3 linked regions of the Cricetulus griseus genome follow. The protein of the gene in region 3 interacts with the protein of the main gene of each other region in a pairwise test. Links are inferred from orthologs where the notes say so. Each region holds a gene or a part of one and is shown on either strand. Other genes may lie near its edges. The genes, in order: Znf366, Znf385c and Psma3.

Region 1 (3,753 bases), on a different chromosome or scaffold from region 3:
TTGTCTCCACTGAAAACACACTTTGTTTACATGTTAGACAACAGGTTCTTTTCCCCGTCCGAACTTCATTTTCTATTGCCTTGTAGAATCCATATGATTGAAAATCAATAACCTCTGATTCCTTTTCCACATCCACAGGCACCCCTGAGCTAAGCTGATGGTGCCTTTGTGGCCAAATCTAAGGCCAGGTCCTCTGCTGGTGGTTCCTGTGATTGGCAGGCAGCTGCCCTCAGATGGTGCCTATAGGTGCCCTTTGTCCAGCAGGAAGCACATCTCTGCTGCGTGTTTTGTCCTAGCCTAACAAATGAAACCCAGGAGAGTAGAGACAACGTTGCCTCAGCTGCTCAGTCCTCTCATGACCTTTTGGAAACAAAGGATGGTCTAGTAGAGACACTGGCTTCCTAGAAGTCTTCCTTGCCAAGAAAACCACTGAGATCAAGGGTGAGACTAGAAGTCAGTGGGGGCAAAAGTCCCCTTTTAGCATCTCAAAGCAGGCCCAAGTCAGCCCAGCTGCAGTAAGCTCTCAAGATGCCACTGGGGCCTTGCCTGTTTGGGCTTGATGACTTACAGAATACTAGCTACAAATGAGGCAGAAACTCCAGCCTTGGGTCTATATTTCTCCATGAAGATCTGAGCCCAGAGAAATTAAAACCAAGCAAAGAAGGAAGCTTCCTCCTGCTTCCCACAAGGATACCACAGACTGACAGGGAAGAGCTGGCCCTGAGTGACTAGGCCAAACCCTGCTCCAGTTTATAGCCACCTGAGGAAGCAGGTCTCACAGCAGAACCAGCCAACAGAACCAGCCCCTGCTTCAGCCGGTAAGAGCTCTCAGAGAATTCTCTAGAAAGCGGCTTTCATTGGCATAGCCCAAACCAGATCTGGTATCTGATGACAAGTGTTTTCCCCCCACTGGTGCCCTAAAAGAAGTTTCTAGAAACAAAATTCCAGAGCTTCTTGGGGGCTAAGCAGAAATATCACAGCAGCCAGCTGCTTCCTTCCTTCTTCCTCATGTCCTCTCCAAATGTCTGCATTGGTAATTTCCAGTCCCACCTTGGACTCTAAGGCTATTCTGGGAAAGGGTTTAATTGATTGTCTACGGTCATGTTGCTCACTGTTTGCTATGTGATGTGGGGAAGGCCCCAGGACTCAAGTAAGGCCAGGGCTACACAGCTCCTCTACGTTTTAGGTAGGAGCAGCACGGATCTCCCCACTCACAAGTCCCCAGCTCTGTTCCTTTCCTGGTGGTCTATCAGCAACCCCCCTCCGTTGGCGCCCCTCTCCCATACCTTGTGAGTGAGCGAGTGCTGCTTGAGGTGATGGGGCTGCACGAACTCCATGCCACACTCGGAGCAGATGTAGGGACGGATGTCTTTGTGTTTCATCATGTGATTCTGCAGCTGACTCGGGTACTGGAAGGTCTTGTCGCACTCAGAGCAGTTGTACTGGATGGGGCCACGATGCGTAGTGAGATGCCTCTTCAGCTGAGCCAGGGTGGGGAAGTCCAGGCCGCACTCCACACAAATGTTCTCACGCCCGCTGGCGTGTTTGGCCTCGTGGGCCTTGAGCTCGCTAGGGTAGGCAAAGCCCCGACTGCACACACGACAGTTGTGTGGCTTCACCTCGCTGTGCTGCATCATGTGACGCTTCAGGTGGCTGGTCTGGGTGAAGGCCTTGTGACACACCTGGCATTTGTGGGGCCGCGTGCCCTGGTGTGTCAGCATGTGGGTGTGCAGATGGCTGAGCTGCTTGAAGAGCTTCCCGCAGCGGGTGCATGCATGCGGCTTGATGCCACTGTGACCCAGGATGTGGGTCACCAGGTTGTACTTGGAGGTGTAGGACTTGTCACAGGTGGGGCACTGCCAGCGCTTCTGAGCCCCACCCACGTCCACATAGTAGCTGTCATCGATCTGCACATTCACGTCCACCCTCTCCACCTTCTGCTTGGTCTCCTCGCTTTCCAGGGGCTCCACTTTCCGGGGTAACACTGGCTCAGGGGGCTGCTTGGGCAGGAAGGTGTGCCTGCTGAAGGGGAAGGGTGAGGACGAGGGCATGAAGAAGGGGAACATAAGTCCCGGGTGGACTTTGGGGTAGTAGGGGTAAGGAGCGGGCAGGAAGGCAGGAGGTGTAGGCTGAGGCCACATGGCACTGGGCTTCACCGGCTCCTGCTTGACGGGTTTGCCCCCCAGGTGCTCCAGGGTGCGGTAGAACTGCAAGCCCACATTGCACAGGTCGATCATCTGAGAGTCGCACTTGGGGCGCTGTGGCTGCGGGAAAAGCAGAGCCAGGTTCGGAGGGCCCAGGCTCTTGCTCTCCTCAGCAATTGCAGCTTCTTCCGCAGGGTGGTTGTAAGGCATCTTTGTGGGCATGCTCTTCCGTTTCCGGGACCCTCCTCCTTCGAAGACCTCGGGGAATCCATCAAGGTCTCCTGGAGGTTCATATCGAAACTGAGAAAAGGGGCCCCGGAGAGCTTCGGGGAAGGAGTGTCTTTGGGGAGCCTTTCCTCGGGAAGCCTCGGGCTGTAGGCAGTGGGGAAAGGAGGCGTTGAAGGGTCCATCCTCATCTTTGACCATCTTCATTGCCTTCTGCATCCTTGACAGGGTCCCTTTAAAGAGAAAGAAACTGTTGTGTGGTTTTGCTTTGCTTTGTTTTCAACCTTCCTTTCTGAATTAGGGTTTGGGTTACGGATCAATACTAACTTACAAAGAGTGATACTAGTTTATATTGACCCTCTGAGCTTTTCTAAACTCAGCGACCAATGAGAGTGAGCTCCGGGGCCTATTGTAAACTACAAGAACCACAGACCTCCAGTACCGTAGAGACTAAGAGTGGATCTGTCTGAAACTCATCTGTCCCTTATGTTGTCCCCTTCTCCTCCCTTCTATTTACAGTGAGGGCCCCAAGGCCCTGGAGATGAACCGATGTGTTCAAGTCACACAGCTACTCAGGTGAATCAGAACTGGCCACATTCTGTTGAGTTTGTCAATCTGAGTTGCCGTTGTATCTACCCAAGATGTTTTTAATGTGCTTCATCTGTCAGTTTCTTGCATATGAAAACCATCTTCTGCCGCTGGTGCTTGAGTCTGTGTGGCACTGGATTAGAATATTCAAAGACCATAAAAGAAGACTTCAATGCTGAGCTCAGACGTACTGTGGATGAGTATCCACTCTGAGCAAGATAAGCTGCTGAGTAGAGGAGACCGACATGAAGAGAAAACGTGTGGGCATTTGCATGTTCTGAAGTCATTGTGTCAGTCCATACATTTCTAAATCTCAATCAGAAGTAACTTCAAGGGGGAAATTCCGATGTTAGAATCTCTAAACTCACAGTTGTGTTTCTCCCTTCATGCAGATGTTCAAGTCAAGAACAGCCTATCAAACCTGCCATGTCTCCCACTAAGCCAGATCCTACACCCTGATGACCCTCTCGGGCACTGCTAAAAAAAACCAGCAGACCAAAGTCTGGACCAAGGGACATGTCTCTTTTTTATGGATCTGCTTGACATTGTTCTTTCTTTTCCACAGTGACACAGATAGAATAAGCCAGTGGCTGCTTCTGCCTTTTCAGGGAGGGTACTTGCTACACAAAACCTCTGAGTTTTGATATCCTCCCTGCTTGTTAGAGGCTCTCAAGGAGACAGTAGGCCGACTACATGTAAGGGCTGAACTGGAGCCACTGGAGGCTGTGGGTAAAAGTGTAGGACGAGGGTCCTAGGATGAGGTGGCTGGCCTCTTCTCATTTCCTAGAACCTTTGA
Region 2 (3,653 bases), on a different chromosome or scaffold from region 3:
TCAGGACTGACCTTTGCTCTGTGGGCTTCGGGGGCCTCCATTGGCTGGAGGTGAGGCTGAAGACGCCACTGTTCCATTTGGGGTCAGGTTTCGAGGCTTCTGCTTGCTCTTGGCAGCTTCTACAGCCTTGAGTTTTCTGGCATGTCTGTGGCCCTTGTAATGAGCTTCAGCCTGGTTCTGGGAAACGGAGGGGAGGTCACATGCCTCATCCGGGAGTGAGGTTGAGCAGAGGGACAAGCCAGAGGGATGCAGGGTTAAAGAGGCACAAGGCATGGGCACAAGAGGTGAAGTCGGTGTCACCATCATTACCACGTGCATCTGGTCCTGAGGTTTACAGTGTGTGTCCTCATAGGTGCTCCAGCACAGGCAGCCTCAGCCATTTATAAACTATGCTTCTTTAGGTAAGTCACAGCACCTCACTGAATTTCCTGTGTGTGTGTGTGTGTGTGTGTGTGTGTGTGTGTGTGTGTGTGTGTGTGTGAATGCTCTCCACTAGACTGCATCCCCAGCCCTGTTTGCTTTTACTGTGTATTCCCAGATCTAGAAGGGTTGAGCCCAGGGACATTCACCAAGTGATTCCCTTGGTGTGTGTCTGTATATACCGAATATTCTGGAAATGGACTACTTATCGTGTGGTCCAGGATGGCTTTAAACTCATGATCCTCCTACCTCAGCCTCCTAAGTGCTGGCATCACAGGTGTGCACCACTGTGCCCAGCTTTAAGCTTTGTGACTGTCCAGGTTAAATGGGATATGAATTGTAAGTCAGTTTACAAAGTAGAGGCTCCTGAATGTTAAGGGGTACACATATGGAAAGCAAAGCAGTACTCATATTTTGGGCTTATGTACTCCAAAAACATTCATCCTATTGTTCATTTTTTTTATTGAGCATTTGCAGTTGGCCCAGCCATTCTTCGAGGGCCTAGGGATGGAGACATGCTCCTTCCAATGATTTTCTTTACCTACTTTTTGTGGAATGAAATGTCACCTAAGCATCTGGAGAGAAGACTATAGCTGGACTATTGGCATCCTCCCTGCTTCACTAGGAGCCTCTACTTGTGGTTTCTCAACTCCTGTTTCCCAAAGGTGGGAAAGACAAGCCTCCACGGTCCTCCTCGATCTGTTTGAGTACAATCCACAGTGGTTTTAACATCTAACCCAAAAACCACAGTAAAGATCCTTCTCTCCCAGGGTAGGCTGCAGTAGGAGTATGCAGACCTCAGGGTCAGCCAAGACTGGGTTCAAATCCTAGCAATGCTATTTCCCAGCTGTGTCCTCAGGCAAGCTATTTATCCACTCTGAGATTGTGTCCTCCTCAGAAAAGTGGAGATGGTAATTGTGCCTCTGTACCTCTCACAGATGCATCATGGGAGTCCATTGAGTTGATGAAGTGCAGTCACGCACACCTTTAATCCAGCACTCGGGAGACAGAGGCAGGTGGATCTCTGTGAGCTTGAGCCATCCTGGTCTACAGAATGAGTTCCAGGATTGCTAGAGCTACATAGTAAGATTCTGCCTTGACAACAACATCAAAATTTACCGGAGCTGGGTGTGGTGGTCCACATCTTTCATACCAGCACTCGGGAGGCAGTGGCAGGTGGATCTCTGTGAGCTTGAGGCCAGCCTAGTTTCTGTAGCAAGTTCCATCCCCCCCCCAACAAAGACACTGGGGTGAATATATGCTGTAAACATCTCAGGTCAAGACCAGGAGCTCGCTCACTCTATGGCCTCTGGGACATCCAAAAGATAGGTGTGAAGCAGAGGGGAGGAAAATGGAACCCCAGCATGCTACATGTGAGTGGGAGGGATATGAGAAGGGGAGGGGCCAGCAGATGATGGGTGTCAGAGCACAGCTGAAAGAGGCCTAGCTCCCTCCCACCCACATTTCTGTGACTTCCCCCTCACCGCTGAGTTGAACCTCAGGTGACAGATGTTACAGGAGATGAACAGCTTCTTCTTCAGAGGGGAGGGGACCCCAAACGTGTGGCTGATGACAGCTTTCTGGACTGGGTCCATCTGTGAGAGGGAATGATAGGGTTTAGTTCCTCCTGCATACTCCGAAAAGGTACAGCTCCAAACATGCTCAGCCTCCCAGACCTCTCCTGTCCTGTGGCTGTAACCCCGACAAGGGCACAGCCTCTTCCTGGCAGACCCAACTTGTCAGGCCACAAGGGGATGGCCAGGGTGACCTGGCTCTTGCAGGATCACCTTAGTGTCTCTTGCTGCCCTTCTGGTCTTAGTTCTTGGTTATTGGCTTCTCTTTTTGACAGGGCGTAGTATTGGGACAAGGAGTTGAGCTCAGACTACAACAGGGAAGGGACAAAGATTCTTTTGGTGGGATTTCCTTTTTCCCAACCCAGGTTTTGTATCTGGACCTGCTGGTGGGGACAAGAAGCCCTACTGCATCAGCCCTACTGTCCAGAGTCTGATGTCTGCTAAGGAGAGTGAAAGCATGGTCAGGGAGTTGGGTGGCCAAGCAGGACAGCACTGGGAGGCCTTAGCGTTCCCCCCCCACGGCAAGTAGCAGGATTGTCCCTTTAGAATGTGAACTTGAGTGTTTTCTTTTTTTCCTAGTTATAAGTTTCATACATTTTTTCTTTCTATTTTTTGAGGCTAGGTCTAATCTAGTTTAGGCTGGCCTTGGATGCTGTCTTCCTGCCTCTGCTTCCATGTGTTGGATTACAGGTATGTAACATCAGGCAATTGTCTTTGAGATAGTCTCAAGTAGTCTAGGCTGGTCTTGATCTCACTTTATAGCTGAGGATAACCTTAAATTGTCCCTCCTGCCTCTACCTCCTAAGCATTGGGATTAAAGGCAAGTGCTATCACATCTGATTTATGCAGTGCTGAGAATCAAACCCAGAGCATTGTGCAAATGAGGCAAGCACTCTGCCAACTGAACTGTAGTCCAAGCCTCTTCAACATTTTTTTCTATTGTCTTTTCTCAGGGGTCTAAGTTTTGGGATTTTTTGTTTGTTTGTTTGTTTTTAAACAGAGTCTCACTTCATAGCTCAGGCTGGCCTTTAACTCACTGTATAGCCCAGGTTGTTATTAATACACATTCCTTCTACCTTACTCTCCAGAACACAGGCATCACAGGCAGGACCACCATGGTGTGCTTTAGGGGCCTAGGCTGTTGGATTCAAACTAGAAGTTGTCTGGTTCAGTCAAAAGGAACTTAGCAAATTTTCCCATGGGAAGAAACCAGAGGCAGAGAGGAGAACATGCTATAGCAACTGCCCTGAGAACAGAGGTTCCAACCTGGCCAGTGTCCAGGGTAGAGCAGATCCGTATCAGGACCTTAGAGGGAGGTCTTGGCAGTGGGCCAACAGTGGTGTCACCTGCCTTTGAGCAATGAACACATCTGTAAATGACAGTAGGGGTTGAAGCCCATAGACCCATGCCCAAATATGTCATACTTCTCAGGACCTGTGTTCAACCCTGGAGGTGACAAAAGGGAGGGAGACTCCTACAGGTTACTGGGAGGGCATGCCACGTGGGTCTCTTGGGGATGGAGTGGAGTTCATCCTGATTTTATTTGATTTTCAGAACTAAAAGGGTGCTGTTCCTCACACCTCATGGAGTACTCCAACATTTTTCCTACACCACACACACACACACACACACACTCCACACAACTGAGTGCATGCACAT
Region 3 (3,653 bases):
ACGACTATTTACAAACATCATTAACTCCAGCTCCAAAGGGATTCAATGCCTTCTACTGGCCTTTGCAGGTTCCAAGCACACACAAGATACACATACATACAGACAAAACACACATGAAAATTAAATAAGTAAATTAAATTTTAAATTGGTCCCCACCCCTGTGCTAGATTTCCAACCCAAAGCCTTGAAAACGTCAGTTTATATTCAGTTTTAAGACTTAATACAATGATGAGACAATCACATACTCAAAAAAAATGTTTACTAGGTAGTTCCTGTAAAGAGCATCCTGAAAGCCAGTACTAAATGTTCTCCACTTCATAACAATATGTTCATTAATTTAAAAAACTACTTTCCTCAAATGAGTTTTGAATATTTATTCCCCTGTCCCCCAAGACAAAGTCTCTACGTGCAAGTGCACTGGCTGTCCTGGAACTCACAGAGATCCACCTGCCTCTGCCTCCTGAGTACTGGGATTAAAAGCATGCACCACCTTGACCTGGCTTTATTCTTTAAATGCTATGGACTGAAGACAAGGCCTCACTCATGGTAGGCAAGCATTAACTATTATGCTATACCCAGGTGTTTCTTTTATTCTGAGTCTTTTAATCTTTAGTAAGCTGTCAAGATCTTTTTGTGATGGCCCAGGCTAGCCTTGAATTTGTAATTCTCCTGCCTCTCCTCCCCAAGTAGCTGGGACTACTGGCCTCCATCACTATGCCCAGTTTTAACTGAGTTAAACAAAAATTGAAACAATGCAAATGATATAAATGATAAGGAAATGCCATTTAACTACAATTGAATTTTAAATAATGTAAAATTTACTCACATATGAAACACCCGACGGATCAATCATATAAAGCTGTGGACCATCATTCGTACTGTAAGACCCTAACATGAAACTGCATAAAAACAAACAGTTTACAACATGGTTCTCAATACCATTATATATAAGACCACTGTGATGAAACTGTGATTAGATTTTTCTCTGATAAATTAGTAAGAAACATAACTTATAGTTTAGTTCTTTGATAAGACAGCTTCAATAAAAACTAGTATTAAGCTACAGTATTGAAATTCCATGTGACTTATCAATGTTTTAAAGGTGTGCACCACCATGGCCTGGCAGAAATGTAACAAAAGGAGTAAGGACCGGCATGTAGTGAGAAAACCACAGCAAATGAGTGCACATGAAAAGGCGAAAGGAACAAACTGTGGTGAAATGTACCTTTCATTTCATTTCCCAGTATTCCTCTAGTCTGCAATGGTCAGAAATGGCTCAATTATTTTATATGCTCAACAAATTAAAATTAGGTTTGGTAAATGATCGTGAATTACCAATTTTCTGAAACTATTTCTTTTAGAGAATCAGCCTTATGTTAGCCTATCACATCATGTAAGAGCCAACCATCCAACCTATGCCCACTTTTCCCTATTCAAACTGATGCAATTCTTCTTTCAGAATATAAATCTGGTTATCATTTAAAAACCCTTCACTTCGGAGCTGTTACACACTGGTCTCTTTGCACATCTGTAGTATCACTTCTACATAACTTTGTATTACCTGTGCACTCCGGGAAATACCCACATTCCACACCATTACAAGATAGTCTTTACCCATCCCCCCAGTATTTCATGCACGTTTCCTTGTCACCTCTCTGAAAACAGACCACTCCTTAACTGCTGCTCCACTGTGCTCAGGACCAATGTCTAGACCCTATCATTTCATCTCTAATGGCTGTTTCATCATTGTGACATCTGTGTGCCCACATTAATGACTGATTCATGGCACATGCCCAAGAAACCACTACTCATAGAAAGGAGCTGATGAACATGGAACTCAATTACGATGAAAGGCATTCTCTAGTCAAAGAGAGGTTTCAGGAGTAATCTGAATGAAACCTTTAACAATGCTCTATTGGGGTCTAACACTGGTAATTAATAAGATTCAGGTTTTCAATAAATCTGTCATTTCATTTCTCTATTGAAATATGTCTGATAAGCAACTTAAAGGCTGGATTACAGCTACATAGTAAGATACTTGATTGTGATTAAGCATAGCCAAGTAGGTTTTGTTTTCTTTACTTAGAGACTGTCTTTTTTTTTTTTAACAAGACGCCATCCAAGAGAACTTTTTTTTTTTCCCAAGAATTTATTTATTATGTATGCAGTCTTCAGAGGGCACCAGCTCTCATTCAAGGTGGTTGTGAGCCACCATGTGGTTGCCGGGAATTGAACTCAGGACCTCTGGAAGACTGAGCCATCTCTCCAGCCCAAGACAGTCTTTTGTATCCCAGGTTGGTCTTAACTATGTAGCTAACAATAACTTCTGACCTCACCCACTTACCCCCCCCCAAGTATGGAGATTACAGACTACACTAGCTTATGAGTTGTTGGAAAACAGACATAGGAGCATTATTTAAGTGTTTAAATAGCTGTACCTCATGTCAAGATAGAAAGTATTTGAATATCAGGGACATAACTGCAGAGAATTTATTATGATTAGATTAAAATTATAATTATAATCATTCCAGGACTATGATTCCTGTCATTATACAGTTTTTAGAATATTTTTGGAGAAAGACTCCCTAAATATCCCAGCTTGGAACTCACTATGTAGCCTAAACTGACCCTGAACTCAGGGCAATCGTCTTGCCTCAGCCTCCTGAGAACTGGAATCACAGACATGTACCATCACATACAGCTTAAAAGTATACTTTTAATGGTTGCCTACTACTACTTGGTAAGAATTTATATTTCAGGTGTCTCAGGGGCTAATCTGGGGCATAGGGGAGGTGTCTCTGTGAGCAGAGTGCTTGCTGTACAAGCATAAGAACCTGAGTTTGGACCCCCAGAATCCACAGAAGAGAGTGTGGTTCATGTCTGTAACCCTGGTACACAGGTGGAACAGATATTAAGAAAAGGCTAGCTGAGCCATGGCAACCCAAGCCTTTACTTCCAGCAGAGGCAGGTGGATCTCTGTTAAGTTCAAGGCTGGTCTACAAAGCAAGTTCCAGGACTGGTTCCATACTGCTGAGAAACTCTGTCTTGGGGAACAACAAAAAAAAAAAGGCGGGGGGACTAATTTGTGGAGAAAAGTAACTACTGTATGAATAAGACTTAAAGGTCTCACAAAATTTCATACCTGCAACCAAAAGGTCTAACAGCACTGTAGAGTGTATAAGCGTGTACATACATGGCCACTCTGTCTGCAAGATGCTGTAATTATGAGGGGAAAAGACCTTATTAATACATTTCCATCACTGTTCAAAAGTTAATTAATTACTTAATTAATACATTTCCATCACTCAACATATTATCAACTTACTTTTAGAGGAATGTTATAGCCAAAGTTAGATCTAAAGTTGGATGCTTCTTCTCTTGCTATGTCTGCTAAGGAACGAGCGTCTGCCAGCAGACCTGCGACTGCCTGGAGAAAAAGAACCAATTTAATAGACAGTATTATATCAAACCAAAATCATTTACTCTAAGTATCATTTAAAGACCATCTCTGCTTAAAAGGTCTTTAAAAGGCATTTTGATGTTTTAATGTAAGATCATGGCTAATTTACAACTCAACTGCTCAAATGTTGAGAAGGAGCATTCATATCAGAGTTCACGTTCCCAAATTACCACCTCACTGTAAAGAATAAAAC

Evidence for each region.
Region 1: the proteins of Psma3 (region 3) and Znf366 interact in binary tests that used the Homo sapiens proteins (3 or more experiments, as listed by UniProt). The link is inferred for Cricetulus griseus from reciprocal best matches to the Homo sapiens genes PSMA3 and ZNF366.
Region 2: the proteins of Psma3 (region 3) and Znf385c interact in a two-hybrid assay, tested with the Homo sapiens proteins (2 studies listed by BioGRID). The two-hybrid records come from large-scale screens. The link is inferred for Cricetulus griseus from reciprocal best matches to the Homo sapiens genes PSMA3 and ZNF385C.

The regions. Positions count from the first base shown.
Region 1 is NC_048595.1:317,993,824-317,997,576, reverse strand, and holds the start of Znf366 (zinc finger protein 366), read right to left. Parts: upstream 2,589-3,753; coding exon 1,287-2,588; intron 1-1,286. UniProt on the Homo sapiens protein: Has transcriptional repression activity. Acts as a corepressor of ESR1; the function seems to involve CTBP1 and histone deacetylases.
Region 2 is NC_048600.1:113,683,346-113,686,998, forward strand, and holds part of Znf385c (zinc finger protein 385C), read right to left. Parts: intron 2,016-3,653; coding exon 1,905-2,015; intron 178-1,904; coding exon 12-177; intron 1-11.
Region 3 is NC_048598.1:132,396,905-132,400,557, forward strand, and holds part of Psma3 (proteasome subunit alpha type-3), read right to left. Parts: intron 3,428-3,653; coding exon 3,326-3,427; intron 3,217-3,325; coding exon 3,143-3,216; intron 900-3,142; coding exon 827-899; intron 1-826. UniProt on the Homo sapiens protein: Component of the 20S core proteasome complex involved in the proteolytic degradation of most intracellular proteins. This complex plays numerous essential roles within the cell by associating with different regulatory particles.